5 linked regions of the Callithrix jacchus genome follow. The protein of the gene in region 2 interacts with the protein of the main gene of each other region in a pairwise test. Links are inferred from orthologs where the notes say so. Each region holds a gene or a part of one and is shown on either strand. Other genes may lie near its edges.

What was found. The genes of interacting proteins can lie anywhere in the genome.
Region 1: the proteins of ATXN1 (region 2) and USP54 interact in binary tests that used the Homo sapiens proteins (3 or more experiments, as listed by UniProt). The link is inferred for Callithrix jacchus from reciprocal best matches to the Homo sapiens genes ATXN1 and USP54.
Region 3: the proteins of ATXN1 (region 2) and ZSCAN1 interact in binary tests that used the Homo sapiens proteins (3 or more experiments, as listed by UniProt). The link is inferred for Callithrix jacchus from reciprocal best matches to the Homo sapiens genes ATXN1 and ZSCAN1.
Region 4: the proteins of ATXN1 (region 2) and TENT5B interact in binary tests that used the Homo sapiens proteins (3 or more experiments, as listed by UniProt). The link is inferred for Callithrix jacchus from reciprocal best matches to the Homo sapiens genes ATXN1 and TENT5B.
Region 5: the proteins of ATXN1 (region 2) and HIVEP1 interact in binary tests that used the Homo sapiens proteins (3 or more experiments, as listed by UniProt). The link is inferred for Callithrix jacchus from reciprocal best matches to the Homo sapiens genes ATXN1 and HIVEP1.

What each region holds. Positions count from the first base shown.
Region 1 is NC_133513.1:56,504,734-56,510,703, forward strand, and holds the start of USP54 (ubiquitin carboxyl-terminal hydrolase 54), read left to right. Parts: upstream 1-2,079; 5' UTR 2,080-2,141; intron 2,142-5,970.
Region 2 is NC_133505.1:14,368,464-14,373,844, reverse strand, and holds part of ATXN1 (ataxin-1), read right to left. Parts: intron 3,231-5,381; coding exon 2,700-3,230; 3' UTR 1-2,699. UniProt on the Homo sapiens protein: Chromatin-binding factor that repress Notch signaling in the absence of Notch intracellular domain by acting as a CBF1 corepressor. Binds to the HEY promoter and might assist, along with NCOR2, RBPJ-mediated repression. Binds RNA in vitro.
Region 3 is NC_133523.1:50,725,774-50,731,799, forward strand, and holds the start of ZSCAN1 (zinc finger and SCAN domain-containing protein 1), read left to right. Parts: upstream 1-2,135; 5' UTR 2,136-2,202; intron 2,203-3,215; exon of another isoform or gene 3,216-3,596; 5' UTR 3,597-3,678; intron 3,679-3,893; 5' UTR 3,894-3,935; exon of another isoform or gene 3,936-4,086; intron 4,087-5,376; 5' UTR 5,377-5,486; coding exon 5,487-5,856; intron 5,857-6,026. UniProt on the Homo sapiens protein: May be involved in transcriptional regulation.
Region 4 is NC_133508.1:63,658,625-63,664,536, forward strand, and holds the start of TENT5B (terminal nucleotidyltransferase 5B), read right to left. Parts: upstream 3,892-5,912; 5' UTR 3,717-3,891; coding exon 3,453-3,716; intron 1-3,452. UniProt on the Homo sapiens protein: Catalyzes the transfer of one adenosine molecule from an ATP to an mRNA poly(A) tail bearing a 3'-OH terminal group in an ATP hydrolysis-dependent manner.
Region 5 is NC_133505.1:18,640,816-18,646,723, reverse strand, and holds the start of HIVEP1 (zinc finger protein 40), read left to right. Parts: upstream 1-2,017; 5' UTR 2,018-2,106; exon of another isoform or gene 2,107-2,208; 5' UTR 2,209-2,472; intron 2,473-5,557; exon of another isoform or gene 5,558-5,681; intron 5,682-5,908.

The DNA.
Region 1 (5,970 bases), on a different chromosome or scaffold from region 2:
AAACACCCTTCAACAAGAATTAGCCAGGTGTAGTGGTGGGTGTCTGCAGTCCCAGCTACTTGGGAGGCAAGGTGGGAGGATCACTTGAGTGGGAGAGGTGGAAGTTGTAGTGAGCCAAGATCGAATTGTACTCCAGTCTGTGGACAGGGACCCTGCCTCAAAACAACAACAACAACAACAACAAAAAACCCACCCTTTCTTCCACAGTGCTTCATACATTTATTTATTTATTTATTTTGAGACGGAGTTTTGCTCTTGTTACCCAGGCCGGAGTGCAATGGCGCGATTTCGGCTCACTGCAACCTCCACCCCCTGGGTTCAGGCAATTCTCCTGCCTCAGCCTCCCGAGTAGCTGGGATTACAGGCACACGCCACCATGCCCAGCTAATTTTTTGTATTTTTAGTAGAGACGGGATTTCACCCTGGTGACCAGGATGGTCTCGATCTCTTGACCTCATGATCCACCCACCTCGGCCTCCCAAAGTGCTGGGATTACAGGCGTGAGCCACTGCACCCGGCCTGCTTCATACATTTAAATACCGTGGTTCACAGAGGCAGTACATTGGCCGCAGTTAGCTGTCTGTCCTGCTCACAGGTACCTTGTTTGGCATCACTGTGTTTTAAAAGTAGCTCTTTTAGATAGGAGTCTGTACTCTCCAGTGGGTCCTAGTCCTTATGTCAGGTCATCTTTTATTGTTACTTGCCTAGCCTCTACAGCCATTTGATTTAGCAATTTTAAGGGTTTCTTTTACATAAACCACATACACCCAGGATAGGACTCCCCCAGCCATCTGGAGTGCTCATTCACTACTCTAGAGTCTAGGTCTGTGCTGTCCAATACTGTGGTCACTAGTTGCATGGGGCTATTGAGCTCTTAAAATGAGCCCAGTCCGAAATAAGATGTGCTGTAAGTATAAACACCACATTTTGGAAACTTAGTACGAAAAAAAGAATGTAAACTATCTCGTTAATAACTTAAGATTGGTTACATGTTGAAATGATATTTTGACTCTCTTTCTTGAGGCAGCGTCTTGCTCTGTCGCCTAGGTGGGAGGAAGGGCAGTGGTGTGATCATAGCTCACTGCAACCTTCACCTCCAGGGCTCAAGGGATTCTCCCACCTTATCTTCCGGAGTTGCTGGGACTACAGGCACACACCACCACGCCCTTCTCCTTTTTGTATTTTTTGTTTAGACGGGGTTTGGCTATGTTGGCCAGGCTGGTTTTGAATGTTTGTGCTCAGTCTTCACCTCAGCCTCCCGAAGCGTTGGAATTACAGGCCTGAGCCACAGCGCCCGGCTGACCAGTTCTTTAAATCCACCTTCTGTTGTAAATGCTGTTTAATTAGGCTGCTTTTATAGTTGTCTGAGAGCAGAGAGAAAAAGCCCTACAACTAAGTGATGAGAATCACCAAGTAAGGGGGACGTGGCCACAGGGCAGGAAGCAAGTGCAAAGTTCAAATCACACACCAACGCGGTTCCCTTCTGCATTCAAGGTCAAACACAATTTTTTTTTTTTTTTTTAGTAACTTCCTATATTGGTGGGGCGAACTGATGAGGCAAGGTACCCGTGGACAAACGTTTCTATGACGCCAAATACATTGCACAAACCACGGTGGGTAAAAAACGGATGAAAAGTTCTTGATGGAAGGGAATGAGATGGGAAGGTCAATTTCTGGCTTGCCCTCTCTGTCTCCAACTACTCTGCCTGCAGAAGGAAAATGCTGGGAAACGAACCTTCAGCTACAGGCGACGCTGCTCTAAGTTTGAAGCAATTGGGAAAAGAAGGCCATATCCCTAAAGTTATCCCAGCGTAGGATCCGCCACGCTAAGTTTCCTCAGCCCCAACGGACGGTTCCGCCTGCAATCGTCTTCCAGCTCCCGGCCAGCTTAAGCTTCATCCTCGCCCGCGCCCCACCTCCATCCCTTTCCCGGCCACCCATGAAACGCCTTGATGACGCCATTTTAAACAGTGCTATCGCGAGATACACTTCGCAATTTCCAGCCTAACTCATTTGCTTTCTTGCGAGAGTCTCTTCTCGTCGGCTCTCGCTGTAGCCAAGGAAAGTGTCGCGAGAGCTGGTTGCCTTGGCTCCCTGTAGCTATAGCAGCCGCGGCGGTTAAGTATGCGGCGGCAGGAGCGGTGAGTGCGACATCCTCAGGGGGGCGGGGCCGGGGGTAACGGGGTGCAGGGGGTAGCGCCTGGGGAGGGGGTGTGGGGAAGGTTGGGTCGCGGGAGGAATGGACCTGAGTGTGACGTGTGGGGAAAGACCTGGGTCCTGTGGGTACAGGGACGCGGCGCCGGTCTGGTCTGGGGCACGCGGGGAGGGCAAGACCTGCTGGGAGGTCCAGGGGGAGGGACCCGGGTGTAGTGGGGTTCAAGGGGCGCGGGCTGGAGCGTGGAGGGGTGTGTGTATTGGGAGCAGGGTGTTTACGGAGACTCGGAACTGGATAAAGAGGCCAGGCTACACTGGGAAAGAAGTGGGAAGAATTGGGGTACAGCGAGGAGGAGGGTATGTTGAATGAGAGCACAGTTTGGTTGGGCCCAGTTTGCTTTTCACTGGTTAGGGGAGTGGAGGGAGGAGAGGGATCAGACCTTTACAGATCCCGGGACTCTGCCTGAGGCTGGTCGGGGACCGCGCGCCAGGACCTGGGTCCTGAATGGCGTGGCGGGAATGGTGGCGTCCCAGACCGTCACCGCCTCCTTTCCCTCTTTCCGGAGAAATACCCCACGGACACTCCGAGATGCAAAAGGAGAGTCCTGGTGAACTAGTATTAGTTGGGAAGGTCCTTTTGGCTGAGAAACTACGAGTGGTTCGATTGCTGCTCTAAAATAAAGCGCAGGGTGGGGAGAGAGCGATTCTTAAGAAAAAAAAAAAAAAAAAAAAAAAAAAGGTTGCTTCCCCTGAAGCTTACTGAGTTGGAAGAAGGGGGTGTGTGCTAAGATGATGTTTCTTCCCAGACTCATTCAACTGTATAATTCCTTTACGGTGTACTTATGAAATATATGCAAGGTAAAAATCAATTTAGGTTATATGGTGAAAAAATATGAAATACGACACTTAAACCTTCCACAAATATAACTTAAAAACCACTTTTTTTTTTTTTTTAATTGCAGCAGCAAGCTGAACACTAAATCTAGGGTTAGTGTTAGTTATTTGAATGTAAAACCTATTTGTTCCTAAAGTGTGCCTATCAAGTTATTTGCCTTTTAAGAAATGAATGAAATTTTATTTTGGGAGACAACATGTTTTGAATGTCTCAATGTTGAAATAAAAGGTGTCTCTCAGGAGTTAAAATCAGTGAGAGGGGAAAACATCTAGTCTTTGAGTCTTAAGGACTGTTTTCTGGAAACAGATGTGGACCACTTTGCTGGGTTATTTCAATCAACAGATACAAGCTTTCTGATCATTTTTCTATTTTTTGTAGGTATAAATTTGAAAGGATAACCTCTCGATTATATAACTGGATTTTTTCATGTCGAGGTTCACAAATACATTAATTAGAATAATGGCTTTTTGGCTGGGCACGGTGGCTCATGCCTGTAATCCCAGCACTTTGGGAGGCCAAGGCAAGCGGATTGCTTGAGGGCAGGAGTTCGAGACCAGCCTGGCCAAAACAATGAAACACCGTCTCTACTAAAAAAATACAAAATCAGCCGGGCGTGATTGCACCTGCAATGCCTGCTATTACGAAGGCTAAAGCAGGAGAATCACTTGAATCCAGGAGGTGAAGGTTGAAGTGAGCCAAGATTGTGCCTCTGCACTCCAGCCTGGGCAACAGGAGCGAAACTCTGTGTCAAAAAAGACTTTTAAAGTTCTTCTGAATTTGAGCTGGTTTTGATGTGGTTAGTCACTGAACCCATTTATTTCATACATGTTAGAGTAAAACCTAATTTGTAATGTCAGCAGCTAAACTTTAAAGTAGAAGTGTTTTTCTGAGGCAACACAAAGTTTTGTGTGGTGATTGGGCCCAAAAGATTTCTGCATGAATCAAATAACAAGCTTTACTGCATTCCTGTTATGTGTAAAGTACTGTGTAAGGCACTGCAGGGAAAAAAGATTAATTCATTTATCCACTTACTATTTACTGAGACTTGGCTGAGTGAGGTGGCTCATGCCTGTAATCCCAGCACTTTGGGAGGCTGAGGCGGGTGGATCACCTGGGGTCAGAAGTTCGAGACAAATCTGGACAACATGGTGAAACCCCGTCTCTAATAAAATATAAAATTAACTGGCTGTGGTGGAGGGTGCCTGTAGTCCCCAGCTACTTGGGAGGCTGAGGCAGGAGAATTACTTGAACCTGGGAGATGGAGGTTGCAGTAAGCTGAGATCCTGCCACTTCATTCCAGCCTGGGTTACAGAGCAAGACCCCCGTCTCAAAAAGAAAAATTTATTGAGACCTATTTTGTGTCTGATTACTAAGCCTTCAGGATACAAGTACAGGTAGAACTTGCCTTGGAATCGCTCAGACCCTATGAGGGCAGACTGATAGAGAAAAAAAATACATACAATGTGATCAGCACAATATGTGAACATGAAAGTATGAGACAAAGTTCTGGCCCTGAAGAATTTATATAGTTGTTGACAAGACAACAAATTGTCTCTTTTTTTTTTTTTTTTTTTTTTTTTTGCAACAGTGTCTCACTGTGTTACTTAGGCTGGAGTGCAGCAACAAGATCATGGCTCACTGCAACTTCAACCTCATGGGCTCCAGCCATCCTCATACCTCTGTCTCCTGAATAGAGCTGGGGCTACAGGTGAGGGCCACCATGCCCAGCTGATTTATTTTTAGAGATGGAGTTTTGCTATGTTGCCAGGCTGGTCTCAAATTCCTGGGCTCAAGTGATACTCCCACCTCAGCCTCCCAAAGTAAGAATTTTCTTTTCTTTTTTTTGAGATGGAGTCTTGCTCTGTTGCTGAGGCTGGAGTGTAGTGGCGCAATCTCGGCTCACTGCAACCTCCACCTCCCAGGTTCAAGTGATTCTCCTGCCTCAGCCTCCTGAAGAATATTTCTTTTTTTTTTTTTTTGAGACAGGGTTTTGCTCTGTTGCCCAGGCTGGTTTGCAGTGGTGTCATCACAGCTCACTGCCATCTCAACCTCCTGGACCCAAACTGTCCTCCCACCTCAGCCACTTGAGTAGATAGGACCACAAGTACATGCAACAACGCCCAGCTAATTTTTGAAACTTCTTTGTAGAGACGAGGTCTTGCTATGTTGCCTAGGGTGGTCTGGCTAGTTACTCATCAATCTTCTTGCCTTGGCAGCTTGGCTTCCCAAAGTGCTTTGATTACAGGCTTGAGCCACTGTGCCCAGCCTAATAATTTTCCCAGTTACAAAGTATTAAGCAAACTCTAAATTGTGCTGCATTAATGAAACACACAGTACGTTTCTCAGAAGAGATAAAAGAATGAAAGTTTGAGAAGAAAATTCACCAGTCAGTTCAAAATTTAAGTCCTTTTTTTTTTTTTAAACAAGTTCTCTGTCGCACAGGCTGGAGTGCAATGGCATAATCACGGCTCACAGCATCCTCAGTCTCCTAGGTTTAAGCAATCATCTTGCTTTTCACCTGCTCCAGGAGCTGTGACTATAGGTGCTTAGCTAATTTTTGTACTTTTTCTAGAGACAGGATCTCTATGTTGCCCATGCTGATCTCAAGCTCCTGGGCTCAAGCGATCCTCCCACCTCAGCCTCCCAAAGTGCTGGGATTATAGGCGTGAGCTGGTCCTAATTGTCTTTTTTAGAACTCTTTTACTGTAAATATAAATAAATATGGACCAGGCGCGCGGTAGCTCAGGCCTGTAATCTCAACAATTTGGGAGGATGAGGTAGATGGATCACTTGAGGTCAGGAGTTGGAGACCAGCCTGGCCAACATGGCAAAACCCCATCTCTAGTAAAAATACAAAAATTAGCTGGGCATGGTGGTACAGGTCAGTAATTCAAGCTTCTTGGGAGGCTGAGGCTGGAGAA
Region 2 (5,381 bases):
GCTAAAAAAGCAAGAGAATGAATGGGACAAGTGCTTAGAAAGAACCAATTATTTTTATAATTCCTATACCTGAAATAGAACCACAAAAATGATGATGTTCCTATTGCTGCAAACCACGTGTGTTTTCGCATCTTAGTGTTAGTTTAGTGGATCCAGTCAGTTCTGTACTCGAAGTAAGCCAAAAGGTGGTGTGTGTTTCTCTGAGTCCACATGAGTTGTCAATAGTGATACTAACGAGAACAAAGTCTGTGTGGCAGCCCGTATTCCTCTTACCATCAAAGGTTAAAAAACAAAAAGAAAAAAAAACCTAATAATTGCAAGTGCCCTGAGCAGAATATATGGAAGATTAAGCAAGTTCTCTGAACAGAAACGTTTAAAAAATACAGCACTAACTAAGCAGTCTGACCGCAAGAATGAGCCCACCCACCTCTCTGCAAGCATGCTGAGAGGGTAATGAAGTTCCAGGAAAGTCAAGGAACTATTCTAGCTATTCTAAACCTATTCAGATGTTTTTGGTACACCCCAGAAAATGGTTTACAAAAATCATTAGTCCTGCTGAGTGCTAAATGTAAATGAATACTAGATAGCCAAAATGTGGGCTGATGATGTCAGATTTTTGTTTTTTAATTTGTGAAATGAAGGAAATACTATTTTCAAGGGGGTAAAAGAAAAATCGAGTATGGATTTGTTCAGGTTCGCTGCAGCCCTCGAAGTAAGAATATTTAAACATTTCTCCCTACTTATAAAACGTTTTTTTAAAGCACTTTAAAGATGCACTCAAAACCCACAAATGATATTTCAGATCTCTGGGAATGAAAGGTTTAAACTATGAAATACCCTTTCTGGGTTTGTACCAAACATTAAATCTTGATTTGATTTTGAATAGAAAAAAAAGTCATTCTGAAAATAACACTAATAAAGCAATTGTTTTAAAAAAAATCTTGCTCACATATATAAATGTTTTTATGGAAAACTCAACAAATCTGAAGAAAATTCTCAGAGTTTCTAAGAGCCCACTAAGACCTGGGTTTTTGTGACAGATGTGGTAAAAAGACCAAAATGAATTTTCAAAGGAACATAACCTTATAAAATGGCCTAGAGTTTAGGCAGGTTAGAAAGAAATTTTGCTACATTTATTTATGCTCGTTCAGTCCCCCAAACCTTTCCCACAATGTTATTGGATAAAAACTGCAGGAATATCACACAAATTACAAACTCAAGATGTGCAAATTGCAAGGTTCTTTAAAAGTTCATCTTAAAAACACTGGACAAAAATGAGTATTCTCTTCTCCATCCCTTTCCTCAGTTCCTCTGCCCACTCTGCATATGCCTGTAACTGTTTCTCAGACATCAAAGTGAAAGTGCCTCCTGTCAGGTAGTACTTGGTCATTTATTGTCACACACGAGTTCATAATTCACATTCATCCCTTGAAACCACATTGAAACTTTCAATATCTTGCTCTTCAGCAATTCTGCAGAGCTGAAATGTAGTTACAGTGTTGAAAAAAAAGAAAGCAACTTAGTTTTTTTTTTTTTTCCTCTTCCCAAAGAGTTTAAAATGAGATACAGTACTTGTTGAATGAGAGACCAAGATGCTTGGTAATAAAGTGTGAACGGTATTTTTAAATGCTTAAAGATAGTAATATATGCTCATCTTCAAAATCTAATTCCTCATGTCACACTGGAATCTGAAAAAAAAAAAGTGGCACCCGAGTTGTCCATAGTCATGAACTATAAACAGTACTAGAATTAAAAGACAGATTTTGCAAACTCATTGAGAAGAGCTTCCGTTGCTGTCACGGAAGGGCAGTTTGCATCTACCTCTTGGGAGTGAAGTCAAGGCAGTAACCTGATAGGTCTTCCTAACACTGCACAGGAACCAGCGTGGGTGTTCACTCTCTCCCCGCCCCACCCCCAAACCCCCTTACCCCACGTGGAGCCATGACAGCAGGGGCTTCCCTGTCCACGACACCCTGGTGACATCACTGCACTAGTAAAGCAGAAATGAAATCCCGCATGTGGCAGTTGCTCTTTAAAAAAAAAAAAAAAGATATCAGTGCAGTCAGGCCCCATAGGGGGAAATATATATCTATACAATTAAAAGTTGCTTTTACTGTAAAATGTTGGAGAGAAAAATGTTCTTTTAAATGGTTAGCTTTCCAAATCTGCCATCTGACGCGTCTCTGCGATGCCCTGAAGCTGGGTTCCTGCTGTTGATCGTGTACATGGGAACCCCAGGAGGACCCTGCTCTGAATCCCCAGTCCCATGCTGATAACAAGAGAGGGAGGCAGAGAAAAAGAGACCCTCACTGGCCACCACAGTGCCTCTGCACCCCCACATGCATGCACCCCTGCAACTCTGCAGGACCCTTCCCACGGAACTTTCCCCTGAAACTAGCAGGAGTCAGCGCCCCGGGCTGCTTCTGTGCTGCTAGAGAAGGCGGGTGCCCCTGAAGCCCCACTCCTTTCTTCCCAGGGGATGCCTGGAGCCCCCTTCCTCCCGCCTGCTCACTGACACTCGTGGAAAAAGCATATGCACCAGTCTCCTGCGACACACCTGCTGTAACTCTAATGACAAGGTTAGAACAGAAACCTAAAATAAGAGGAAAACATGTAAATACTGTGTTATTTAGCCTACAGTACAGTAATCTGGATACAAATGATAAGGGAGAGCCACGTTTCCTTTCCCCACGCTGCCTCTACTTGCCTACATTAGACCGGCCTTCAATGCAAATCTTAACCTCCTGAGGAATTAGAGAAGGCTTAGGAAGAGTCAAAGGTGGTTCATCTTCTGACTTCTCCAGTTTGCGGCTCTCCGGCGCCGACCACCTCCTCTTCCTCGTGGCCGGAGGCTTGCTGGGTTCTATTTTGGTGAGGAAGGGTGCTGCGGGCAATCCCATTTTCTCTGGAAACTTCAGTTCGCCATTCTCAGACAGCATCTGGGCACTCCCCTGGTGGATTCCGTTTTCCTGCTCAGCATACCTGTGTCTGCTGCCCGCCAGGCCGTCGGCCTTTGAGTGCTTCAGCAGGACGCTGGCGGGATCCACGGGCTGGCCCTTTTTAACAGAGCCGTTCTTCAGGTTCTTGAGGGTCAGCGAGATGCAGACATCCCCAACTGAGAGTTTGGAACACGGCAAATCAAAGAGCTGGCTGGTTCTCTCCGGACAGCAGGAAGACCAGCCCTGTCCAAACACAAAAAAAGGATACTCTACCAAAACTTCAACGCTGACCTGCGGAAACAGGGAGAGACAGAGAGAGGAAGGAGGAAGGGAACAAATGAAAACGTTTTTTCTTTGATTTAAGCACACGTATGAACTCACACACACACACACACACAGATACATACACAGACACATACACAGGCACACACAGGTACACAGACACGCACATACAGAGACCGATACACAGGCAAACACAGGCACACACAGATACATACACACAGACACACGGGCACAGACAGACATACACAGGCACACAGACACACATACATACAGATATACAGACACAGGCATACACAAAGGCATACACAGATACATATAGACACAGACACAGATAAACAGGCACACAGACACGCACATACAGACACAGGCACACACACATACAGACATACACAGGCACATACACAGGCATACACACACACAGACACACAGGCACATACACAGGCATACAGACATGCACATACAGAGAGATACACAGACACGCACACAGATACATACACAGACATACAGAGACAGACACAGGCATACACAGACACACACACACAGATACATACATAAAGGCATAGACATACACAGGCACATGGACATGCACAGACATACAGAGACAGGTACACAGGCACACACACAGATACATACAGGCACATACAGACATACACAGGCACACATACAGAAAGATACACAGACACACACAGATACATACACACACATACACAGGCACACAGACACGCACAGACATACAGAGACAGGCATACACAGATACAGACAGATACACAGGCACACAGACACGCACATACAGACATACAGAGATAGACACACAGGGATACACACACAGATACACAGACATACACAGGCACACAGACACACAGACACACAGGCATACACAGACACACATATATACACAGGCACATACACAGGCATACACAGACACGCACACATACATACACAGGCACAGAGACACGCACAGACATACAGAGACAGATACACAGACATGCAGGCATACACAGACACAGGCACACACACAGATACACAGGCACATACACAGACATACACAGGTGCACACACAGGCATGCACACAGGCACTCACACACAGATACACACATACACAGGCACATGCACACAGATACACAGGCCGACACACAGACACACACAGGCTGAATGGGGAAAAAATGACTCAGTTTGCAAACCTCCCTCTCCCCCAGCAACACACTATAAATGAGGCTTTTCACTTTTGGGTGTACCTGTACTTACCATAGGCAGAAACCAGTGAAATGGCCATCGGTATTTAAAATATTCCACCAAGTGTTAGCTCTATAGCTGATCTCTGTTAGAATCAGTCACTTGAACCCCAGCAATGACAGAGCACCACTTAGCTTTTAGCACCGAGCTGGGCTCTGTGGGCCTCAGAAGCCCAGCATGGTTTTAGATTTTATGAGCTCAATGGACAACTATTATCATACAGGACAGGACTAAACACGGATCAGAGTGAGACTGTAGGTGATTTCGAGGAGGCAGGCATGATGTTTACCACTGAGTCCCCAGCCCCTAAAAGGATGCTTGGTGACTGGCCGCAGTGGCTCACGTCTGTAATCCCAGCACTTTGGGAGGCCGAGGTGGGTAGATCACTTGAGGTCAGGAGTTCAAGACCAGCCTGGCCAACATGGTGAAACCATCTCCACTAAAAATAATTAGCTGGGCCTGGTGTTGGGCACCTGTAATTCCAGACACTTGGGAGGCTGAGACACAAGAATCACGTGAACCCAGGAGGCAGAGGTTGCAGTGGGCCAAGATTGTGCCACTGCACTCCAGCCTGGGCAACAGAGCAAGACTCCTTCTCAAAAAGCAAACAACAACAAAAGGATGCAGCATGTGGTTGGAGCTTAATAAATATTTACTGGATAGGCCAGGCGTGGTGGCTCAGGCCTGTAATCCCAGCACTTTGGGAGGCTGAGGTGGGTGGATCACAAGTCTGGGAGTTCAAGACCAGCCTGGCTAATAGGGTGAAACCCCATCTCTACTAAAAATATAAAAATTAGCCTGGCACAATGGCAGGTGCCTGTAATTCCAGTTACTCTGGAGGCCGAGGCAGGAGAAACGCTTGAACCCAGGCAGCAGAGGTTGCAGTGGGCTGAGTTTGTGCTACTGCACTGCAGCCTGGGTGACAGA
Region 3 (6,026 bases), on a different chromosome or scaffold from region 2:
CAGACAGGGTCTCACTTTGTCACCCAGGCTGCAGTACTGTGTACACGGCTCACTGCAGCCTCAATTTCTCGGTCTCAAGTGATCCTCCCACCTCAGCCTCCTAACTGGCACCACACATGTGCACCACCACCTGAGGGTCATTTTTGTATTTTTTGTCAAGATGGAGTCTTTCCATGTTGCCCAGACTGCCTCCAACTCCTGGGCTCACGTGATCTTCCTGTCCTGCCTCGGCCTCTCAAAGTGCTAGGATTACAGGCATGAGCCACCACCAGGCCTGGGACATGTTTACACTAGAACATTATTCATCATTTATCTGACATTCAAATGTAACTATTGTTCTATATTATTTGCTAAATATGGCAACCTCATTCTGGCACATGGTTATACTGTAGACATATTAATATTAAAAATTATCACTCCTTCTAAAGAGGGAGCATTTGGGGAAAATTATTTACATGCAATGTACTTATATAATGTCTGTTTAAAGTATGTGAAATATAGGCGAGGCACAGTGGCTGAAGCCTGTAATCCAAGCACTTTGGGAGGCCGAGGCGGGTGGAGCAAGAGGTCAAGAGATCGAGACCATCCTGGTCAACATGGTGAAACCCCGTCTCTACTAAAAATACAAAAAATTAGCTGGGCATGGTGGCGTGTGCCTGTAATCCCAGCTACTCAGGAGGCTGAGGCAGGAGAACTGCCTGAACCCAGGAGGCAGAGGTTGCCGTGAGCCGAGATCGCGCCATTGCACTCCAGCTTGTGTACAAGACGGAAACTCCGTCTCAAAAAAAAAAAAAAAAAATTATCACTCCTTCTAAAGAGGGAGCATTTGGGAAAAAATTATTTACATGCAATGTACTTACATTATGTTTGTTTAAAGCATGTAAAATATAGAACACATTGATACTAAAAATGTATTCCTTTTTATTTTTATATTTAGAGACAGAGTCTCACTCTGTTGCCCAGGCTAGAGTGCAGTGGTATGATCTCGGCTCAGTGCAACCTTTGCTTCCCAGTAAGCGATTATCTTGCCTTGGCATTACTGGGGCGCACCACCATGCCTGGCTACTTTTTGTGTTTTCAGTAGAGACGGGGGTTTCACCATGTTGGCCAGGCTGGTCTCACAACCCCCAACCTCAGATGATCCACCCACCTCAGCCTCCCAAGTGCTGGGATTACAGGCATGGGCCACCGCGCCCGGCGTCCTTGTTTTTCTTGAGTTTACATATAACTGAGCTTTATTTTTTGCTTACTAAATCGGGCAATGCTACTATGATACTATGGGACATAATTACAGTGGAAATCACTTACACTCATGTATTTATATCCAGAAGCTTTTTAAATACCCTAAATATGAAACAGTAATACTAAAAATAAATTCACTCTTCTCCTTAATTCAAGTCTAGCTGGACGTCCTGTATTTTTACTTGCTAAGTCTGGCGATCCTATTCTGGGACATACTTGTACTAAACGTATTTACATTAAAAACACTGTTTCGGCCGGGCGCGGTGGCTCAAGCCTGTAATCCCAGCACTTTGGGAGGCCGAGGCGGGTGGTGCACGAGGTCAAGAGATCGAGACCATCCTGGTCAATATGGTGAAACCCCGTCTCTACTAAAAATACAAAAAAATTAGCTGGGCATGGTGGTGCGTGCCTGTAATCCCAGCTACTCGGGAGGCTGAGGCAGGAGAATCCCTTGAACCCGGGAAGCGGAGGCTGCGGTGAGCCGAGATGGCGCCATTGCACTCCAGCCTGGGCAACAAGAGCGAAACTCCGTCATAAATAAAGGATCATGGCGTGTGTGGAACGCCTGCGTTTTGCTCAGCGGCCGCCTCGTACTTGCGCATCCCCGCAGGCGGCCCCTTCTCGGCTCCCCTCAGAAGCGCCCTCGAAGCCGCGCGACCAGTTGCCAAGGCGACACGAGCCGGAGCGGGAGGTTACTGGAGGGCGCGGCGAAGGCGGGGCGCTCATCCCAGGCGGCATCCGATTGGCCACGGCCGCCTAGTGCGTCACAGCCCCGCCCCTGCCCGGGAGTCCCGCTACGCGTGACGTGACGCTAACGCGCGGCTCGCCCCAGCGGACCAATGGCGGCCGCCCGCGGCGCGCGGGGTGCCGGGAGGGGGTCCGCCCGCGGCGCTGGGCGCGCTCGCCAGCCCAGGGGTCGCCATCACTGAGCGGCCCAGGCCGGAGCGGAGCCCGCGCGCGGTGAGTCCGCCGCGGCCCATCCGTTCCTCCACCCGCCAAAGCGCCCATCTCCCGGAGGGGCGCGGCGCCGCGTCGGCGGGAGCTGGCCCGAGATCGCGGTCCCGGGGCGCGAGTCGGGGGAGGCTGGTCGGGGCGGGGGCGGGCCGGGCCGGGGTTCCAGAGTCCGTCGGGAGTCGGGAGGTCGCTGTGGGGGAGGGAAGGGGAAGGCTACAGCCCACGCAGGGAGGGGGTTTGGGGTGCTGGGGCCGCCCCTTCCGCGGGGACCTCGATCCCCGTTGGCATCCGCCTGTCACTTTGCGGCAGAAGCCCCTCTACGCACCCCCATTGCCCGCCTAGACCCCGCTCGGCCGCGTTCAAGTTCTCCCTTCAGCACCTGATCTGCATCCCAGGACCCATCTCCCTCCCGACCAGCCACCCCCATCCCGTCTCCCTCCTGACCAGCTGCCCCCGAACCCATCTCCCTTCCAACCAGCCGCCGCGAACCCATCTCCTACCCGAACAGCCGCCCTGGACCCATCTCCCCCGACCCATCCCCCACCCAACCAGCCCATCCCCCCAGCCGACCCCCAACCTGAGTCTCCGTCCCTGCCCCTCCCCCGTATTCCTAGTGCGCTGCCCATTGCTTATGGAGCTCCCCTGTGTGGCATTGTAAGCCCCCTTCTCAGAGCCAGAGCCATTCACTGACTGGCGCAGGGAACACGTCCACCATGTCAATAAGCATCCGGCATCCACGGCAAAGCCCTTCCGCCCATCCCATCCCCCTAGTAGAATTTGGGGCCTGGGCTGCAGATCGCAGTGCTCCTGCCGAGTGAACCAGGCACTTCCACCAGGCACTCAGCCCTCCAAGTGACACTCTCACACATTCCCAACACTAATCCCAGACCCCTACCGAAGTAGACCTCTAGGACCCCGGGGCCACCACAGCATTGCCCATGGGGGGGTCCAGATCCTTCTTACCAGCTATGTAGACCTCAGGACCCTCCGCATCATCCCAGGCCCTCTTCATCTTCCAGAAACGGCCTCCACCATCAGTCCAGGACCCTCGTGAGCTCAGGCACGCCCGAGTTTTCCCATACAGACCGCAGACACAGCTGCGGACTCTTGTGCCCTCTGCTAAGAACTCCTCTTTACCCTCATCCCCGATAAACTTAGCCTCCCCTCTCACAGACCTCAGCCCAGGACCATGGAAGATGCGGAGGGGCTACAGCGCTCCCTGGAATCTCCATGGTGAGCTGCCATGAGCACCTGAGAGAGTATAAGGACTGAGGCCCCAGGGCAAAGGGACTTCTTGGACCTGTGGAGCTTCAAAATAGGCCCTTTTTCCTTATTCAAAAGTACATATATAAAAGTGTGAATACAATGTAAGAGACTATATTTGCCTGTGGTCTCGGCAGGAGAGACCAAGCTGTAGTCTCCCAATCAGGGTGCAGGTGGCCGGGTACGAGACTCGAAGATTGCTGGTGGGGCACAGGCCTGGTGAGTTGCCTTTTCTGCCACCCTGCACCTCTCCTTTCTCCTGGATTGTAAAACCCATGCACAAGACCTGTAGAGGGTACGAAGAATGCAGCAGAGGATGAAGAGGGAAAATCCCATGGAATCTCTCCTTTTCACTTGTCATCAGCATTTCCCTTGTAGTTACAAATCCTTCCTAAAGATTTCTTGTTCTGTTTTGTTTTTCCATGTTGATGAAGGTCACATGGGATCCTGACACCATTTGGAGGACATTCAGAGAAGTATGAAGAACACAAAGCACTTGGCTGGCCCCCTGTGGGCCTCTGCCCAGCACCCGCTTTCTAGGACACTCATGCATCATCCCGCATCCCGTGTTCTCTGTGCCTCATGTCATCTGAACATCATGTGTATACTCCCTGTGGTCATGTCATGGTGTGTGTTGTGCACATGGAACACCCCCCATCACATGGTGGGGGAGGTACTTGATCCCACCACGTTCAACAGCTGGGCACTTTTATAGTGAATCTTGCATCCTGCATGCAATCTCCCAAGTGTCCTTCATATATAAGTGTCCATAGTGCTTTCCAGAAAGGTCATGCCAATTTCTATTCTCACCAGCAGATCAGCCCAGAGTACAGTTGTTAAAGACAAACAACCAAAACCTCCGTTTATTTTTATAACGTTTAATGTTTTCTTCAGTTATATATTCACCATAGTAGGCTTGGAAATGTACAAAAGGTGTTTTTGTTTTTGAGACAGAGACTCACTTTGTCGCTCAGGCTGGAGTGCAGTGACAGAATCTCTGCTTGCTGCAACCTCTTCCTCCGGGTTCAAGCGATTCTCCTGTCTCAGCCTCCCGAGTAGCTGGGATTACAGGCACGTGCCACCACGCCCAGCTAATTTTTGTATTTCTAGTAGAGACATGGTTTCACCATGTCAGCCAAGCTGGTCCCGAACTCCTGACCTCAGGTGATCCACCTGCCTCACTCAGCCTTCCAAAGTGCGTGAGCCACTGCACCCGGCCACAAGAGGGTATTTTTTCATTGCCCTCTACTCTCCGTGTCTTTTCAGTCTCCAGTCTCCCTTGCCCTCTTCCTGCCCTCCTCTACCAGCTTGGAGTTGGTAGGAAAAGCATGAAGGCAGCAAAGATACCATGGGCAGAGACTGCTGCTGCCGCCGTCACCGCCACCGCCATTCATTATTATGTAGCCCACCTGGCTGCTTCCATTTAAATTTAAAGTTCAGTTCCTTATTTCAGGTGCTCCCAGCCACGTGTAGGTGGCTGCATGGGTGGAGAATGTCTGCATCCCTGTCGGAGCTTCTGTTGCGCAGCGCTGGCTACTCCACGGGGGCAGCCAGTGGAGCTCCCGCAGCTCGTCAGTCGATGAGTGTTGAATGACTAGATGAGAGGGAGATAGACTCTAAGGAAAAAAGATGTGTTCAGAAAGGCCTGGGGGGGGTGGAAGACGGCCGGGACATCTGGGAGGGGAGGGGCTGGGGTTTGATGGCCGGTGCAAAGGTCCTCAGGCAGCCAGTGGCTTGAATTCAGCGCAGAGTAGCCTTTGAGAGGCATGTGGAAGAGGAGGTCAGGAGGTGGGAAAAAGTCAGGTTAGTTCCTTGGGGTGCTGGAGGCCAGGACTAGGAAGTGAGGAGCTGAGGGGCATCCTGAGCAGGGAGGGCCACCATCTGATGTGGCCCCTCTGTCCCTGCCCCTCTCTGCAGGCCCCTGATTGCTGACTCCGCCCACCTGCCACACCGGCTCTGTCTGGAGCCACTGAGACTCTTGGGATCCAGTCCACACAGACCCTTCAGAGGGCACTCTGACCAGAGAAATGCTCCCACGGCCCAAAGCCCCTGCCTCCCCCAGACGTCCCCAGACCCCAACCCCGAGTGAGCAGGACGGGGACCATGGGCCAGCAAACCCCAGGGACACCGAAGCCCAGCGTCTGCGGTTCCGACAGTTCCAGTACCATGTGGCGGGCGGGCCGCACCTCGCTCTGGGCCAGCTCTGGTCGCTTTGCCGCCAGTGGCTGAGGCCCGAGGCGCGCTCGAAGGAACAGATGCTGGAGCTGCTGGTGCTGGAGCAGTTCCTGGGCGCGCTGCCCAGCAAGATGCGGACCTGGGTGCAGTCACAGGGCCCCCGAAACTGCAGGGAGGCGGCCAGCCTGGTGGAGGACCTCACACAGATGTGCCAGCAGGAAGGTGAGAGGCGCAGGCTCGGTGCCCCGGGAAGGGCGAGGGGGCCTGACGTCTCCGAGGACCGAACCGCCCTCCTTCCCGCCCGCGTCGCTCCCACCCCTGCCTGGCCCCTCCCGACCAGCAAACCTCTCCTGCCCCGCGCCTGTGTTTTTAATTATTTTTACATATAAATG
Region 4 (5,912 bases), on a different chromosome or scaffold from region 2:
CTTCTCTACCTTTCCCTCCATTTCTTTCTTTCTTTCTTTTTTTGAGAGAGTTCTGCTCTTGTGAACCAGGCTGGAATGCAGTGAGTGAGTGCATGCAGTGGCACAATCTCAGCTCACTGCAACCTCTGCCTTTGGGCTCAAGCAATCCTCCCACCTCAGCCTCCCAAGTAGGTGGGATTACAGGTGTGTGCCACCACACCCAGCAACTTTTTTATTGTTTGCAGTGATGGGATCTTGCTACTTTACCCAGACTGGTCCCAACGCCTGGACTCAAACTCTTTTCCTGCCTCAGCCTCCCAAAGTGCTGGCATTATAGGCATGAGCCACTGTGCCCGGCTCGGGACAGGTCTTTATGATCTTCTGGGAAACTGAAGCTCGCAGGAGTTATGTCACCTGCACAAGATCATGCAGAGATGCCTTCAAACCCGTGTATGGCTGACTTCAAAGCCTATCCTGAATGTACCACATTACAGTCCCAGGGTTTGGAAGGAGCATAGACTCCTCCTTCTCTTTCCAAATTTTGAAGGCAATCCTCAAGTCACTGAAGCCCAGAGCCAGAGTAGTTGGGGAACAGGAAGGTGGGGGTTGGGAAATGCCTTGGCCAGACAGGGCCAGTTGCTGCAGTCCAGCCTGTGGAACTTCTAACCCACACCCTGTCAGCTGGCAGCTGTGCCTGCATGGGCCAAAGACCTTGGTCCAAGGACTGCCAAGCCTGCAGAGAAGACCAGCCACTTCCTCAAATCCCATTAGGGCTGACTGAGGCTTACTTGGTGCCAGCTCCTGCTCCCAGGCCGGTGCCCACCCCAGGGCATGGCACCTGGCCTAGTGAGTAGGCAGGAGTACTCTTGTTAAATCCCCTGCGTCAGGGCCATGGGGCCAGCTGTGTCAGCCAGCCAGTCACTGCTGTCTCCTTCCCAGGTGTGACTACTGCCAGTTTGGCAGGCGGTCCCCAGTTACCACCACACCCAAGTACTGCAGGGCAGCTTGGTGCCTCCTGAATCAGACTTTCCAGCCATGGAGGGGGCAATGGCTGCACCCTCCTTTCTCCCATGCCAAGACCCTCCCCACTCTGCTCCAGGCTGCTGCTGAGACCTGCGGGGAGGCTGACAGACGCTGTCAGCCAGCAGGCTCACAAAACTCACTTGCAGCGCAGCCTGATGCAGGCCCTCTGGCTGCAACTGGAGAGATCAGATTGTTCAGTTCAATCCTCTGGGCCCAGAGAAGCAAAGGACTTGTCCAAGGTTACACAGCTAATAAAAGGCCTCCTTGCCTGTAGTTTTGGGAAGCCTCCTTACAGTAGGGCGGGTCCCTTTAGCACAGATACAAGCAAGAACAGCATCTAGCTGCTCAGGTTGTCACTCCAGGCAAAGCCTTGTAGGGGTGGAGATGGAGATAGGTTCCAATTTTTGAGCCATAGGACAACTCAGCAGTGGTGAAAAGCCATGAGGCAACAGCCGGCACCACGCTCCCCCTCTCCCCTGCCCCCATCCCTGCACACATCCCAACAGCTTTCAAGGTTGCCAGCTTCAAGGTTGTGGATTTATTCCAAGAAACTTTCTTTCCTGTGGAGGCAGCTGTGCAGACCAGGTGAAAGCACCTGTCCCCTTTGGAGTCAGGAACTAGAGGGTGTTGGAAAGCAGCAGCCTAGTCCCAACTGAACAGACAGGGACACTGAGCCCAGCAAACAGAACTGACAACAAACAGCCCAGGCCCTGAATCCAAGTCCAACTTCCCAGCCCAGCTCTGAAGTCTCTGCCACCCTTCCTCACTGCTGCCAACAGCTCCCGGTTCTGTGCTCTCTCTGACCCGGGTCTGGAAGGACATGGTACCACCATCAAATTGTAAGGTTAGCTCCTATTGACCTGGAGTATTCCCCATCTGGCTAGGAGCACCTGAAGGGGTGGAGGCCGAGTCCCAGTCAAATCTGTGCCCTTGGCTTCCTAAACAGGGCTTGGCACAGAGCAGACACCAATAGGGGCAGTTTAAACCATACTGACAGGGCAAGGAGTTCTCCTCCCTCCAGGTACCCCCTGTTCTTGCAGAGGGAGGCTGCCACACTGGGCTCCACCTCCCACCCCCCGCCATGCCTGGGGCCAAAGTCATGGAGGTGCAGCAGCTGGGGCCCCAGGATTGACTTGACAGTCCTGGGGAGTAAAGCCTTGACTGGTTTCCCCAGGTGACTAGTTCCTTGAGCAGAGCAGCCGAGGAATGCTTCGGCCCCATGAGTCAGCCCAGGATAATCTGCCCTCACCCCATCCTGTTCCTAGTTCCTCCGGAGGGTGAGGGAGGTAATCTGCCAGCAGGCACCCCTCCCCCTCTGCAGGAAGCTAAGGTGGTAGGAGGCAAGGGAAAGGCCTGCTTCATCCAGCCGGTGAGTCTGCCTCCTCAGGAAGAAAGCTATCACCTGGCAGGAATCCACAGGAGTCCTCTCTGAGTTTCCTGGTTTCTTTTATCAGAGGAGCCTTCCTAAGACCTAGAAGTTGACCTTGGGAGCAGGGGTAGGGGTTGGAAAACATTGAACCTACCATAATCTGCTCCTGGGAAGACCCAAGATTCCCTGGGTTTGATTTTCACCTCATTAAGTAATCTTGGGTGGCTCACTGCCCCAGCTATAAAATGGTATTTCAGAACATGACATCGTCTGGGCTGTACAGATGAAAAAGCAGTCTTGGGGTCGTTGAGGTTCAGATAAAGGGAAGATTTGGAGTACCAAGGAGGAGGGAGGGGCCGTCAGAATTCTCTTCTCCCGTTCCTCAGGAGAGATGGGACGTGGGGCCTGAGGCCTGGGTCGGCCTTCATTTCCAATCTTGGGAAGAAGCAGCAGCACCTAAATTGGTCATTTAATGTTGCTGTTGGGGGTGGGGTATCAGGTCTGACCTTCAGCTTAATAAATCTTGGGCCACAACCGCAGCCGAGTGAGGGAGTCCCTGACAAGTTTTCCTGGCTTTTCCACAGGGCCCAGGGGGAAGGGCAGGTTTCTCCAGCAAAGGGCTGTAGGAACATAAGGCCTAGAGTCTACTCCTAGAACCTCGAGAGGAAAGGAGGCTGAGGTCCAGGGATGCCCAGATAGGGAAGGAAAATCTATTTTGAACTCAAGCATTCACACTCACCCACCCAGGGCCGCCTGGCATCTTTTGTCCTTGCAGGCAGAGACAAATTCTTCCCCAATGCCCTCGACATCCTTCTCCCCTCCCCCAGCCAGGGCCTGGGTGAGTGGTCCGTGGGGAATCAGAGTTCTCCAGGAGTCGAGATGGAAAAGCCAGATGGGGAAGGATTAGTAGATGCAGGGGTAGGTCTGGTCTGCGATTCATAATGCTATGTAATTGTTACAACCCTGTCCACGTTCCTCAGTTTCTCTAGCTGTCTAGAGAGTCAAACAGACTCCAAATGCCTTCCAGCCTCGAGAGCCTCAGAAGGGATTCCACCATATCCCCCGCCCAGCGTCCTCTCACCTGCACGATCTGCCGCGGCTGCACGCTCAGCGTGGGGAAATTGCCGCGCCCGTGGATGGGAATCGGCTCGCTTAGGAGAGCGTCCAGTCGCTTCACCTGTGGCCAGCTCAGCCCGCTCAGGTGCCGTCCGGGGGAGGCCGAGAAGGCCTCCGGGTCGGGGCCGCCGCCTACCGGGGCTACCGTGGCCACCGCCGTGGCCGCAGCCATCCCCACCTGCACAGCTGCCCCATCCCCGCGCTCAGCTCCGCTCTCCGACGGCATCATCTGCCCGGACCCCGGGCCCCGACGGCAGAAACCGTGGGGGTGGTTAAGGGGAGAGGACAGGAAGAGCGGCTGGGCAGGAGCCAAGGCGGGGGGCACGGAGGCAGGTACGAGGCGGCAGCGACGGCGAGACAAAGCCAAGGCACACCTCGGACGGCGACGACTGACCGACCCTAGCGCCTGCAGCCGGGAGCCCAGCGGACTCTTATAGGCCGCGGGCGACGTGCCCATTGGTCCCGGCCGCTGCCACACATCAGGAGCCGCCCCGCCTCTCGACGCTCAGGACATTGGTCGGCAGAGCTTTGCACGTGAGTCACTGTTCTCCAGAGAGATTCCGATTGGCTGGAGGGCACGCCCCTGCCCCGCCCTCCTCAAACTGAATTCCCTCCTTTGGTCCTTAAAGAACTTCTGTTCACTGTGATTGGCCCGTGTCTGGATTTAAAGGGACAGCGCCCCTTAGGGGCAGGAGGGAGGGAGGTAACCTGCGGAGTTTGTAGTCAAGCCACTGAGAAATTCCAAGTTTCTGTTTTTTGTGTTTTAGCGCTGAAAGAAATTGAGAAGTCACCGGGCCTTTGTCCTGGTCATCTGCTATTTTCAGAAGCCCAAAGAGATTGCGCCACGTGATCAACTCCGCACAGCACTGCTCATGATCTGGCAGTTTTTCAGAGCCTAGAAAAGGTATAATAATAAACTCTGTGCATACCATGGTAAAGGCTTTCTTTTTGTCTTTTTTTGAGACGGAGTCACACTCTGTCGCCCAGGCTGAAGTGCAGTGGCGCGATCTTGGCTCACTGCAACCTCCGCCTCCTGGGTTTAAGCTATTCTCCTGCCTCAGCCTCCAGAGTAGGCAAGTGACACCATGCCCAGTTAACTTTTTTGCATTTTTAGAAGCGAAGGCTTTTCACCATATTGGCCAAGCTGGTCTCAAATTGCTGACCTTGTGATCCACTTGCCTTGGCCTCCCAAAATGCTGGGATTACAGGCGTGAGCCACGGCACCTGGCCCTAAGGTAAAGGCTTTCTAAAGCACTCTGTTGATTAGCCTTTGCAAACCAGAGTATGATGAGTGTTGATGTACAGCATAGCAAATTTAGAGAAGGGGAGATCTGCTCAGAGAGGGTGTGTGATTACCCCACTGTCACAGAGCAAACTAGTTAGTTCCTGGTCCTGAACCAGTGCTATGGAATTTGTGGCTGATGCTTTTTCCACTGCACCTACACAGACCTTTCTGGGACTAGAGAATGAATAATATATTTACATGTTTCTCTGCAGGTCCAAGCTATTCTCCTGCCTCAGCCTCCTCAGTAGCTGTGACTATAGGCACCCACCACCATACTCAGCTAATTTTTGTAATTTTAGTAGAGACAGAGTTTCACCATGTTGGCCAGGCTGGTCTCAAACTCCTGACATTGTGATCTGCCCGCCTTGGCCTCCCACGTGAGCCACCGCACCCAACCTGTTTTTTGAGATGGAGTTTCACTCTTGTTGACCAGGCTGGAGTGCAATGGCATGATCCCAGCTCACTGCAACCTCTGGGTTCAAGCTATTCTCCTGCCTCAGCCTCCTGAGTAGCTGGAATTACAGGCATGTACCACCATGCCCGGCTAATTTTGTTTTTTTATTTGTTTGTTTTATTCTGTCTTTGTTTTTTTGTTTTGTTTTGTTTTTTGTTTTTGAGGTGCGGTGTAATCCCAAAGTGCTGGGATTACAGCGTGAGCCACTGCACCCAGCCTGTTTTCTTTGTTTTTTTTTTTTTTTGTTTGTTTGTTTTTTGAGACAGGGTCTCACTCTGTTGCCCAGACTGGAATTCACTGGCATAATCGTGGCTCACTGCAGCCTCAACCACTCCGGCTCAAGCAGTCCTCCGAATCTCAGCCTCCTAAGTCCCTGGGACTACGGGCACATGCCACAACACCCAGCTAATTAAAACAATTTTTTTGTAGAGATAAGGGTCTGGCCATGTTGCCCAGGCTGGTCTTGAACTCCTGGGCTCAAGTGATCTGCTGGCTTCAGCCTCCCAAAGTGCAGGGATAAGGCCCAGTGTGGTGGCTTATGCCTATAATCCCAGTACTTTCGGAGGCCGAGGTGGATGGATCATCTGATGTCAGGAGTTTGAGACCAGCCTGACCAACATGGAGAAACCCTGTCTCTACTAAAAATACAAAAATTTAGCCAGGTGTGATGGCACATGCCTATAATT
Region 5 (5,908 bases), about 4.3 Mb from region 2:
CATGTGAGGACACAGAAAGAAGGTGACAGTCTACGAGCCAAGAAGAGAGGCCTCAGAGGAAGCCAACCCTGTTGATGCCTTGATCTTGAACTTCCAGTCTCTAGAACTGTGAGACACTGTATTAGCTCAGGGTCTACTGCAACAAAAATACCACCTTGTTAGATCACAGATAAGGTTGGGTCATTTTCATTGAATGCTGTTCTTTCTCTAGGGTTACTCAGTATGCTGCTGTGGACATAGTTTATAAGGAATTCTTTCAGGAACTGCAAGCACCAATCACATCTAGTTTTCTTTCCCCTCTTTGCAGACTAGTACACCAAATAATACCCATTAAACTGTCATTACTTGCCATTGAACGAGAGTCTTTTCAATGAGACGAGGCTTCCTCTAATAGCGTGTCTCCTACAGGTAGCAGTGTAAGTACTGGAATAAATGTGAATTAAATTATCCTTCTAAAAACTAGACATGGTTGAAATTAAACACATTTTCTCTTCTTTCCCTTAAGCCTCACACCATGCCAGCATGCCTATCATTTTCATGACACATCAAAACTTGAAAAACTTTAAAAAATTCCCTTTTTTTCATCTCTAGCAAACTAATGCATAAAAATTCCCTTTTCTTATTCGCTCCATCGATGTAGAATATTAGGAAGTTATCGTAATCTGGTTTTCACAACATATAATCTTTAAACTTTGAGCATCTGACTATTTTCTGGATTCCCCCATCAGGGCTTTATCATTTACCAGCTTTGTGGCTTGCAGGAAACGATGCAGCATTTCTAAGCCTCTGTTTCTTCATCTACAGTGTGGGTTTATGGTGGGGATTAAATAAGTTCATACAGAAAAACCTGGCAAGTCGTAAGCTCTCAATAACTGTTCGTCACGACCACTACCATTACTACTACTGCTAACCAGCCTCCGTATGGACCCTAAATCCATCAGTAACAATCACTTTCCTTAAAAAGACCATTCTCAGGCCAGATGTCTCCAAATGGCTACCAACTGTTCGTAATATCATGGCTTAATTCCTTCCAAATGATGACTGAGTAGGCTCTTTGCTGGTTGCCTGTTGTCTGCCCATTCTGTCGTCCTAGCTCATTACTAGAGAACCCACCCTTCCCATTGGCCCGGGGCAATCCAGGTGTACATCTCTCATCCGAGTATAATTATTAATACTCTCCCTTTCACTCTTGAAAGTGTCCTGGTGTGGGTGTTACTTGTATCTCATTTGCTGAGACTTTCTGCTCTAGGTGGAAAAACCATCACACACAGTTCACTTGCTCTCACCTTCAAGAGATTTCCCTCCTCTGTAATGCTGTTCATACACCACTGCCAAATTGTGAACTTTCTCTCCTTCAATATCCCACTGAGAACTCACGCTCAGGATGGAACTCTGCTCACCCTGTCCTCTACTCAAGCAGAAGCTTCTCTGCGATCATGTAAATAACTGTATAACTTTAATTGGCTCTGTTTATAAGCCTCTTATATCTTTTTTCCCTCTAGGTATTTTTCCTTGTGTTTATCCTGTCTCCATTAATTTGTAATCTCCCAGAGGGCAAGGCCTGAACGCAGGATTCTGTTGGTGTAAAGTGTAGTCACAGGTAAGGCTGATTGCTAGACAGCGCCATCCTTTACTACCAATCTGTTAAAAAAAAAATCCTTTGTAGTACTTTGTTAGTGATGGTCCCGAGACTGCTAACCTAATGACAAACTATATTCAGTATCTGCTAGTGTCCAAGCAAGAGAAAATCAAGTTACACGCTTTCCATAATGTAATGGGGAGGGTGTGCGGATACTCTGACCCGTAAGGGAATTTATGATGAATGTAAAGCATGTTATAGAATGTGTTGCCTTTAGAGATTTATTCTTGTCTTTTCAAGGTTGCAGGACTGTCTCAGAAGGAAAATAATATTTATCTTCCAAACTGAGATCTAAAACCCGAACAAAACCGCAGGAAACATACTCCACCACCATCTTACAAGTTTGTGCTCGGGTGGAGGAAAACGAATCTAAAGTACGAGGCCTCCCTCTGTGCGTCTAGCAGGAAAGACCACATGGCGCAAGTCTCCAGGATCACTGGAGGGGTGGATTGTTCATTTCAGCCCAGGTAGCAACAGGAAGCCCGTGCAAATGCTCCTCTCTCGCTGCGGGGCTAAGGAGTGTGGGTCCTTAGCCGCGGTTACCTTCTCGCCTTTCTCGGAACCTGCAGGTGGAGTGCGGAAGATCAGTGTATCTTCTCGGCGCCGAGCCCAAGGTAGAAAGCGATGGAGGCGGTGCACTAGATAACATCAAAGCCCCCGGCAGGGGCCAGAAAGGGGGGCACCGGCAGCCCGGGGAATGAAGCGCCTCCCTCTAGCATTTCCTCTCACGCCCACTTCCAACCTAGGAGGCTTTTGGTTTCTGCTTTTGTTGTTTTTAAAATTAAAAGTTAAACCCAGGAAGCTTTGCATCAGACTTTTGCGGTGCAGTTCGGGTAAGTTTTTCTCCGGGTTCTTTTGTCTGGCGCCTGACTTGGGAAGAGCCTGGGCGTGGGGCAGAGTTGGCAGGGTGTGCGGAGAAGGTTTTGTCGCCGGGTCGCCCAGAAGGTTTTGTCGCCCGAGGAGGAGGGGATTCGGCCGGTGGACGGGAAAGCCCGGAGCGCGCCGAGGGTGGAGGGTGGAGGGTGGAGGGTGGAGGGCGGAGGGCGGAGGACCGAGGGGAGGGACGGGCGGCGTGACCCGGCGGCCGGCGGGGAGGAACCTCCGGGATCTCCGCGTGGCGGTGGCGGTGGCTGCGGCGCTGCTGGGCCGCGCTCTGGGCGGAGGGCCGGGGCCCCGGGGCCGCGCCAGGGGGGAGCCGGATCCGGGCTGGGGCGGGCGGCCGCGTGGGAACTGGAGCCGGGTACGCGGCGGCGGGGGCGGGCAGGGTGGCGCGGGGCCCAGTGGACGCGGCTCCGGGGTGGACTTGTGCCCTCTCCAAACTGTTTGGTAAGAAAAACGTGTGTAGATCTTTTCAGTGACACTGTCCTCCCTTGAACCGCACTCTCCCCCAGGAGGGGCTCCAGAAGCGTTCACGCGGACGGTAGAGATGGATTCCTAGAGAAATGGTCCCCTAGGAGCCCCCTCTTTTTTGGGGGTCAGAGAATGATCACTCGCTCCCGCATTGTCCCAAGATTTTTGACAGTTGAAAATGCAGTTTGCCATTCATATTCACCCTCTGCTTCATTTTTTCCCACGCTCTTTATCTGATACATTTTGAGAAAATATAATGGATTTGCCACAAAAAAAATTAAGCCTAAAGAAGATACTTTATAGCCTAGCCAGATTTCCTTGCATCCGGATATCTAGGAAGAATTGTAGACAGAGTTAGGAAAAGAAACTGCATTTAGAAAATTCAAAGACTTACCAGGAAACTATTCTGTATTGTATATATTTCAAATAAAAGTTTAATATCGGTTTGCTGCTCAAGGAAATAGTTGAAATGTCAAAAATTTACCTATTATGATTCAAAATTGCATGTATGTCTTGTGAGAAAATTCGTAGTAATGCTGAATCCTACATAAACACTGTGTTGACAGTATGGTATGCCCAATAACAATTGGGTTAAATGTAATTCATTCAGTTAGCATTTTTCACTTCGGAAGTGATACAAACTCCACTCATTATCAAATTACCTTTCTCCTGACAGATCCATAGCTATACGTTCACAGTTAAACGCATGTTTATTTTTTGATTCAAATAACCTAGTTGGGAAGTTACATTATATACTTTTTTTGGTGATATCATTTCATTTCAAAAAAGAGAGATGGTTATATCACATTGAAAATAGAAATTGCACTATTTCATTGTAGGGTTAGCATTAGTACGCTAGACATTCTTTTACATGTACACAGTTGGATGATCTTTGCTTTTATAACCAAATTATAGTAGGCATATTTCCCCCTTTAGATATTATTTTTGGCTACAAACTTGCCATTACCGAGTATTCCATTTTTAATCATTCCCATTCTGGTGCTCTGAGCTTTTCTTAGCTCAAATGAGCTAGAGGTAGGATTTCCTCAGGGGAATTTTAGGGGTCAGCTCTAGCAGGAAAAACCTAGACGTCGTTATGGAAGCCCAAGGGAACAAAACAATTCAAGTTTGCACAGATGGCCAGCTGTCTTAGTGGGTGTATGGTCGTTTGGCATTTTTATTCCTTAAAAGGGGAAAACAGTTTAGTTTCATCAGGGATTTTTTTTCTTTTGCATCAAATTTTTGGTTTCACCTTATTCCTCCCAAGTTCGAGGTGGCCCATTAAACCAGCCACTCCTGCCTGCTTCTTGAGGTGCACGGGTGGAATTTCTGTGCCCCAAACTGCGTACGTTCTTTAAGTCTAACCTTGAAACCTACGTTGCCCTGGTCCATACCCTCTTCACTGCTTTGCCGTGGATTTCCACTCCTTGCTTCCTCTACTGCTTTCTAGCAGCCGGGGTCACACTCTGGTTCATGCTAATTACTCCCTCTTCCCCTTTCACTCCCTCCCCAGCGTCCCTGGAGCCCGGTCCGACGCCCAGCCCCGCATCCCCATGTTCAGTCCCCGAAGTCCCCTCCCGGGGCGGCCCTAAGCTGTAGGGCTGGCAGGCAGGGGTTAATTGCGCTCGCAGCTTCGGCACTGGAAAGCACCAGCGAGGCTTTGGAGCGGCCTCTGGAATAACCTTGGCTTTCCTCGCTCTTTTAATAGAACATCCGCCACCAAAAAGTGGTTTCAGTTCAGGGTTAATATTCTGTCCCCTTCCACTCTCCAAACCAACACCCCTCCCCCCTCTGGTTTTTTTAAAAGTTGTTTTTCAAAGTTAATGAGTGTCAAGTTTCACAATGACTTTCCCCTTCCTTCTACGCGTTGCTGAGGAAACCCCCTTGGGGTCCCCCCCCCGCCCGCCCCTGTGCCTCCCGTGCCCCTCCCCCATTCTGCCCGGCCGAGGGGCGGGACCGGGAGACCCCATGACGTCAGCGGCCGGCCCACATCCTGCTGTAGAAAGTAAAGAGACGGTAAAGAGAAACTACGGCCCCGCCCGCCCCGCCCCTGTTCCCGGATCAACCGCCTCCAACTGCGCGACCCGGCCAGGCCTTCCCTGGGCCGCGTGACCGGCTGGGGCCGCCTCTCCGCCCCCGCCGGGTGCGAGTTCCCCTGGCTGCGCGACCCTGGGCTCCCGCCCCACGCGTCCCTAACCCCGCCCCTCCCCCCCTGGGCCGCGCCGCCGCCTCCTCCCTTGCACCCTCCTGTCCCTGCGGCGGCTTGGCCGGGCGGGGCGGGGCGGAGCGGCGGGTGGGTGGCGGGGCCGGCGCGGCCTAGGGCCCGCCCCGCCGGGGAGACCCGGGGCTTTGGCTCCGCGTTCGCGCCGGGCCGGGCGCCCAACCTGGCCCTGCCCCCGACAGAGCTGGCGGCCGCGCCGGCCCAGCCGGGCCCTGGCGCCCGGGCGTCCCCCACCCCTCACCCCGGTGTCAACCCCGTTCCCCGCGGGGACGCCCCCTCCTCCGCCCGCGCGTCGCCGCTACCCCGCCCCCCGCGGCCTCCCCGCCTCCCGCCCCCGGGGATCCCCTGCCGCCCCGCCCACCCGCGGGAAAGCCTACGACCTTCGCCCTGCCTCCCCCGCGCCGCCCGGCCCGCGTTCCTACCGCCGGCCCCAAAGACGCTAAACGTGCCCTACTCTGCCCTGGGGGAGAGGTAAAGCCCGCGCCGGTCCTACCCGCCCCGGGCCCCGCGGTCCCAGGGTCCGCCCGCCCGCCCCGCCGCGGCGCGCGCCCCCCGGCCCGGCCGCCCGGCTGCCCCGCGGCCGCGATCATGCCGTGGCCCGGGGCGCCGGAGAGCTCCGCCGCCTCCTCCGCCCGGCGCCTGCGGCCCCCGCCCGCGCGCCCCGCGCTCCCCCCCCCGCCCCCCGGCCCGCTCCCCTG